2 linked regions of the Xenopus tropicalis genome follow. The protein of the gene in region 1 purifies or fractionates together with the protein of each later gene. This does not show direct contact. Links are inferred from orthologs where the notes say so. Each region holds a gene or a part of one and is shown on either strand. Other genes may lie near its edges. The genes, in order: ube4a and ubxn4.

The links.
Region 2: the proteins of ube4a (region 1) and ubxn4 purify together in Homo sapiens (affinity purification with mass spectrometry; 3 studies listed by BioGRID and IntAct, counting the BioPlex papers as one, with this or other methods). This does not show direct contact. The link is inferred for Xenopus tropicalis from reciprocal best matches to the Homo sapiens genes UBE4A and UBXN4.

Annotation. Positions count from the first base shown.
Region 1 is NC_030683.2:81,297,857-81,301,778, forward strand, and holds the start of ube4a (ubiquitin conjugation factor E4 A), read right to left. Parts: upstream 2,567-3,922; 5' UTR 2,487-2,566; coding exon 2,369-2,486; intron 2,182-2,368; coding exon 2,005-2,181; intron 159-2,004; coding exon 46-158; intron 1-45.
Region 2 is NC_030685.2:84,078,146-84,082,067, forward strand, and holds the start of ubxn4 (UBX domain-containing protein 4), read right to left. Parts: upstream 2,806-3,922; 5' UTR 2,706-2,805; coding exon 2,624-2,705; intron 1-2,623. UniProt on the Homo sapiens protein: Involved in endoplasmic reticulum-associated protein degradation (ERAD). Acts as a platform to recruit both UBQLN1 and VCP to the ER during ERAD.

The sequences.
Region 1 (3,922 bases):
TATACTATGCTGTGTGGCCTCATCCATTAGCGCTCTTGTTAATACCTGTTCAACATTATCCATGTCAAGCCAGTCCTGCCCATCCAGCTCTGATCCAAGCTCTTCCAAATACACACAACGTAAAGGAATTCCATTCCCACTCTTCAGACTGGGATCACCTACAAGACAAAGCAATGCATATTATATACAAACAGGTAAGGAAATAGTGGAGTCACTTACAAATATCTAAAAAACACTTTATTAACCAGCACTGTCAGCAATGATACAATTATCAATATGAGCCTTGCCTCCTTTAAAAAGTTATCTGGTAGTGCAAATTTGCTGGAAGGAGAAGGCCAGCCTTAAAAAAATCCATGTAGTACTGTAGTAAAAAGTAGTAATGCATACTAGAAAGAATGTATCCATAATCGCAAATAAGCCATGCAAGCTTAACTTAAGTCAGGGGTCGGGAACCTTTTTGGCTGAGAGAGCCACAAACAACACATATTTTAAAATGTAATTCTTTGAGAGCCATACATGTTTGGCCGTGGATGCTGCAGGGCAAGGTAGGGTGGGTCCCAAGGATGCTTAGAACACGTCTTCTATCCGCCGAGTGCAGGGGCAAGGTAGGGTGGGTGGCAAGGATGCGATGCGGACGAGGGCGTGGCCTGCGCTCGGTGGATAGAAGACGCGTTCTAAGGCTTAGAACACATCTATCTGCCAAGCGCAGGCCACGCCCCCCATTATTTTTTTTATTAAAGATTTTATTAAAGCCATAGGTTCCCTACCCCTGACTTAAGTGATCATCCATTTATTTGGATGTAGTGTATAGAAAACAACATATGTGGGTAAACTGTAAAGTTTGCCAGTGCTAAATTAGCCTAATGGCAGACAGGACATTCTGACCACTGATGTGCTCAGACGTGTTACTGTTCTATCACAGATTAGAGTTTTTTATTTCTCCTTTATGTCTCCTTTCAATGTCACACAGAAAGGCTGAGCAAACTTGTACCTGCTGAGGAAGGTCACTGAACATAAACAAAACACTGAACCATAATTTTTTTTTTTCTTGAAATAAAGCCTGTAGCATGCAGTGCTACACACACACATATTTACACAGCTTATATTAGTTACAATTTTACTTTGTCCCCAGGGGTAAATCATATGGCAAATAGATGTGGTATATTTCTCATATAGGACTTTACACATCTCACTATTAAGAGATTAGGTATATTTTAGACTTTTACTTTATATCTTTCTGTGCTATTTTAACTGACAAAGGGAGTCAATAGCTCACACCGATTTTGTGTTGTTCAAACTAAATCCAAACAGATAGACTAAGACCCCTCTAAATAAATCTGCTTAAGCTTGCATAGTATTGGAAGTCATAAAACTCCTTGGTTGGAGCTCTGCCATGCTTACCGCTCCTGGCTCAGGGCCTTATTTGTTCTACACAAGACAACAAAGTATAATAACTTAATAAAATCCAAAATGAAGTAAAAAAACAAACAAAAAAAAACCTAATACCCTGGCTGGCCACCACCTCTGGGACCATACACTGACAATGTTTATTAAGTAAGTAATATATAAATAGAATTGTTTCATATATAATATTTAATAAACGCATAAAATCTAATTGAATAATGTATTGTTTGATTAAGCATTACTATGCCTATATTAAATGTATGAAATATTTTCCAGTTAATGTAACTTTCTGCTTATTGTTTGGAATTAAGCTGATGAAACCAATAATTTTTATACACATATTTTGGATAACTTCCAACTATTTTCCACTAGACCTTGCAATATAACAGATTCTTCTGCTAGTGTAATACATTCCAACACTCTATATGATTATCTGATATTGTGGATCAGTTTATCTCCATCATTATCTCATTATGAAACATCTCAGGTAGGGTGCAAAAAAAATGCTGTTTCACATGCAGTTTAACAAATTCTTTGGAAAATAAAATTATCGCAGCTTATCCATCTGCCTAAAACATCTTGTAGGAATTAGTAACTTACTGTTGTCCAAGGTAATGAGGAAGATCCTTTGGATCATGTGATTAATGTTTAGCTGCTCACAGATTTCCTGCTGGGACCGAAAAGATCGACTGATTTCTGCCACAGAGTCATCACAATCATCCAGGCTTTCTGACACGCTGTTGTCTGACTCATCTTGGCTCTCTTCAGCATCATCCTCTGGAATATAAAGGTTGGTTAACTAGTGTTTTAGGAAAATGCTCTGATCTGACTCAACATAAAGCAAGCCAGAGTAATAGAGAAGAGCCAAACACCAATTTAGTGGTGCTGTCGATGGTGCTGTCATTGAAAGATTTACTTGAACTAAATAAAAAGAGGACATATCAAGCAAACGTTTCCCACTTACCAGTCTGCCTGAGTTGCTCTTTCTGACCAGCCACAAATTGGCGAGCCTCAGCCAAAGACCCAAACAGGGCAGCAAAAGGATTGGCTGAAAAGCTGTTGTTGTTTTCTTGGTCCGTCATTGTAAGGTCGCGCCAATCTGACGTCAGCGCACCAGTGCGGCGCGTAGCCAGGCGTCATCGCACCGCATCGACACAGCGTTGGAGCGTCATACGTCACGAATCGGCGCGGCGCCCAATTAAAAACGAAAGCGTCTATAGTTCGATAGGTTAGACCCAGATTGTGGCCTTTTCTTTGCAATGTTCGGAGATGTTCATTAACAGCTAATAATTATGTTTCTTTGCCTTTAAATGAATTGTATTGATGTTCTTTAAAGAAATAACCCAGAGAGCAGACGAAGTAACTTATGACTTTTATTGCAGCAGTTTGAGCACGACATGTTTTGGCTTAACTAGCTTTCCTCAGGTATTAATGTGCTGTCTATGAATACGCATATGCTGGTAGTATATACTGTATATATCAGCATGCCAGTATTATTTTATTGGAGGACAGACATACTGTAGTTTATGTGGCAATTTGGGACTCCCCCTGCACTCCTTGCTGCCCCTGCTCTGCACTGTCAATGCTTGGTATAAAAGTTACGTAAACTACGTAAGATTAAGGGCCCAATGATTTTACTGAGGGGCCCAACCAATAGTCGGTAGTAAAAATAATTGATGTGCTGATAAGTCAGTCTTTTCATAGTGGGTCGGTGGAGTTTACGTAAATGTAGGGGTTTACCAAAAATGGGCCCTTAGGACAGGAACCCCTAGGTAACAGGGACACTGGGATGACTGGAGTTCGGGTTATGGCCACAGGGTGGTGCATAGGCCCATATAAGGGGTTGCAGCCATGTGCTGTGAGGCAGACATTTTGGGGACTGCTCCAGGCAGGAGTACCCCAGGCACAGTTAAGATAGTAGTTCATGTAAGAGATCATTCTAGGAGTGATATGTAGGTCACCTAGCTAGAATGGGCAGACATTGCCCCTCCAGGAGTGGTAGTGAGGTTAAGACCTCCCGGCATTACATCTGCTGGAGTGCAGGGCCACAAGTGGCTAGGTAGGTGGACAAGGTCACCGCTAGTTCAGGAGGCTGGATCTGAGGGGGCTTAGGCAAGAGTACCGGGGTGGGCTGCCTGTGGTGAGGCTGCCTAGCGTGAGTACCGGGAAGGACCCCAAGAGGGGGTGCCTTCTGGCGTGAGTACCGGGGAGATCACCTAGAAGGGGACACTTGGCGCGAGTACCGTGAGTTGCCCAACAGGAAAAGGTTCTCAATGAGTAGTAAGGAGGAAAAGCCCTGCATGCTGTTTGATTTGTATATGCCACTCCTGGAGAGGTCCTGCCTGAATAAAGCACTTATCTGATTCATCATATAAACTGTGTAACTGGATCTTTCCTGCACCAAGGATCACCTACCTGCCGGTAAGCAACTACCCCAGGGAGGGGCAAGGTACCGGGGGCTGTGTGTGGATCCCAAGCAGAGGTACTAGTGAAACATTAAGTTCCCAGGGTGTGGGTT
Region 2 (3,922 bases), on another chromosome or scaffold:
CTGCCCTACAGTGACAGGGAATGAGCAGCTTCACGGCACAAACAAGACAAACACAAAAGAAACAAGATGGAGGCCCAAGGCTCACTAGGATGTTATTTTCAAACTACGTAGCAACAACGGCAGAGAGGATGCCAATGGTGCCGCTGGCCCAACTGTGCCAACTGTGCCAGGCAGTCTAACAGAGAGACGGGCTATAATTACTGGGATAGAGCAATAATGGATTTTATTATTGCATCCAAGGGACATCTCATAAAGAGACTGTACTGTAGGGCCAGGAACTCGCAGTGACTGCACTTTGCACTCTCAGACTGAAGCCAATAAATAACTGCCTGCGAGCCCTTCAGAGATGCTCTGTCTGTCACTCTAACTGTCACCCCGTTCCTCATTACTAAATGGCTAAAGTGCTGCCCCTCTATTGGATGGGTCCCCTATACACGCAGTAATACCATCCAATAACAGCATTATTAGCGGCAGCGACCTGGGGCCCCTTTGGCAGGCAGGCACAGAGTTGCCCAGAGAAGCCCCCAGGATCCATCTCCATTCACACACAGGATGCCAGTGACAGAAACTGTGCAACCCCAATCCCACCCCCGCTACCAGCCAACAAACACAGGCTGACAGTTAGTAAAGGCAGATGCCTGACAGTTACCTGTTTCCCCCCAATCGAAAAATTACTCCTTTTTATAAGCCGACAGCTACTTGCCTGGAAATAACAGGGTTCCCCTTTACAAAAAACTGAGCATCTACCCACCCAAGCCTGGTCCTACTGCCCCCCATTACTATTGATGACACGCTCATTAACCCTATCTACTGGTCCTACTGCCCCCCATTACTATTGATGACACGCTCATTAACCCTATCTACTGGTCCTACTGCCCCCCCCATTACTATTGATGACACGCTCATTAACCCTATCTACTGGTCCTACTGCCCCCCCCATTACTATTGATGACACGCTCATTAACCCTATCTACTCGGCACGTGGTTTGGGGGGGGATCTCTCCTTCTCTCACCATATAAACCCCACTGTCAAAACCTGTAACTTTTTCTTATGCAAAATTGCCAAAATCTGTCCCTTTCTGTCACCCGTAACTGTCAGGCTGCTCGTACATTCTCCCCAAATTTCTGCCGAGGGTATCCCCCCTGTCTCTGCAGAACTCACAGACCCCCCCTTGGGGCTCTCGCATAGACCTGAACTAGGAACTGGCACTTATACTGCAGTGTCACCTATTTGTGTCTGTAAGTTATTTAGACTGTAAGCTCTACAGGCCAGGGACCTCCATCCTCCCGTCCTCGGTGGAATCATTAATACAACTGTACTTTATATTTATTTGTATTTATTCCTTTGTACCTATTATTGTAATGAACCTGTTTGTTTATGAATTCACACATACGTAGCATTATATACATGAAATATACATACATACCAACAAGCTGACAGTTACTAGGCAACCCCATGAACACTGACAATAATAATGGCCCATCATAAAGCTGACAGCTTAGTATTTGTGGCCTACAGCAGCCTCTGGGCTACAGAGAACAGTTCTAATGCCCCAATATGTTGCCTGGGTTACCCACATACTGACATTCGGCAGCGAGTCCTTGGGCTCCACTCTGGCAGGACATTGGTTATAACAGTCCCCGGGTTCCCACTATACTGACAGTTAGCTGTGCCAGTCCCTGGGCTATCTCCATGATGCCAGATGTACCAGTACATGGGCTCCCCTCTGACAGGCAGTTAGTAGCAGTACATGGGCTCCCCTCTAACAGGCAGTTAGTACCAGTACATGGGCTCCCCTCTGACAGGCAGTTAGTACCAGTACATGGGCTCCCCTCTGGCAGGCAGTTAGTACCAGTACATGGGCTCCCCTCTGGCAGGCAGTTAGTACCAGTACATGGGCTCCCCTCTGACAGGCAGTTAGTACCAGTACATGGGCTCCCCTCTGACAGGCAGTTAGTACCAGTACATGGGCTCCCCTCTGACAGGCAGTTAGTACCAGTACATGGGCTCCCCTCTGACAGGCAGTTAGTACCAGTACATGGGCTCCCCTCTGGCAGGCAGTTAGTACCAGTACATGGGCTCCCCTCTGGCAGGCAGTTAGTACCAGTACATGGGCTCCCCTCTGGCAGGCAGTTAGTACCAGTACATGGGCTCCCCTCTGACAGGCAGTTAGTACCAGTACATGGGCTCCCCTCTGGCAGGCAGTTAGTAGCAGTACATGGGCTCCCCTCTGACAGGCAGTTAGTAGCAGTACATGGGCTCCCCTCTGACAGGCAGTTAGTAGCAGTACATGGGCTCCCCTCTGACAGGCAGTTAGTAGCAGTACATGGGCTCCCCTCTGACAGGCAGTTAGTAGCAGTACATGGGCTCCCCTCTGACAGGCAGTTAGTACCAGTACATGGGCTCCCCTCTGACAGGCAGTTAGCTAAACTGACAACTATAACAATCATTGCCCCCCCCCCGATACTGGCAGCCCTTGTGCCCCTATGATGCCCATATTATGCCCCTATGATGCCCATATTATGCCCCTATGATGCCAGACAGTTGGCCGTGCCTCAGGCCCAGTTGCCCCTATGACAAGTTGCCCGATACACTGAGAGGCGGGGAATCCATTCTCCTCACCAGCCACGAACACCACAAACACGGAGTTGCGCTGCTTGGCGGCCGCTATAGCCTCCGGGATGGAGCCCTGGAACCACAGCATCGTCCGACTCCGCTGCCCGCCTCCTGTCACTGCCCTCACTGCCCTCACTGCACACACACAGACGGTGACGAAGCCGGAAAACAGGATGTGACGTAACGCCGTCCGCTCTCACGCCGCACGCAAACAATAAGCCACGCCCACGTGGGGCGGAAGTGAATACTGAGCGCAGCGCTGATGGAGTTTGTTGTCATGGAAACAACCAAGCCGCCATACGCTCTGCCCGTAATGATGTCATACGCATATGCAGTTACCTCATACACTAATTGCGCCTATAATTACCATCATTGCGTCATGTTTTATTCAGTTTTGCTGTATAGTTAATGTAGGCCATTCTCTGGGGTAATACCATTTATTTTGCCCTTCCCTCCCACCCAATCAGCAGCTTGCTGGGCTTGCCACCTGTTTAGTTATCAAGTTCAATTCATTTCTTATTGTTACAGAAATAAAGAGCAAATTTCTGAGCTTTCTGGAAAACTGGTATAACAGAGCCCATACAGTTACCCATCAGGCAGAATAAAGACAGAACTAGGGCTGCCAATCAAACTGACTGGAATTCCAGCCAATTGTAAGCGCTGCAGTAACTGCACTCTGGCATCATAACCCCGCCCCTAGCTTTGCTGCCCCACCCCTATAGCTTTGCTGCCCCGCCCCCTTTGTTCAGGTTTAGCACTGGCAAAGGTGGTGACCCCAATGTTTTCCACAGCACTGCCCTCAGGCTCAGGCCAAGAAAGTGTCCGGACTGACCAGAGCATGGGCTGAGGCAATGGTGCCGGACACATTCCTCCCTTGAAAATGGAAAGAGGGACAAAAATAAATAACGCACGGCAAAATTTTACCACGCCCCCTAAATACCACTCCCATTTGACTAAATTTGGCAGGTTATTTAAGGTCTGAACACATTTCTGGGGGGTTTGGGGTCCTGCTTCAGTGCAGGAGATGAGGGAAATGAGGGACAATTCAGTAAGAATCCGGGACTGGGAGCTGAGCTGTCAAAAGAGGGACTGTCCATATCACACCATTAAGGTTGCGCCAGATGGGCCGTACCCCAACAGATCACTGCCCGAGATGTGCAGCTAGCCCTGCTAACTTTCATATCCCCATATGCAGTCACTAAATACTCATCAAATAACTTAGCCTTCCCTACTGTGACTGCTCCTGAAACCTGCTTGCTAGGGGTCCTAGACAGTATAATTGCCCAAAATAGCGCCCAGATACGC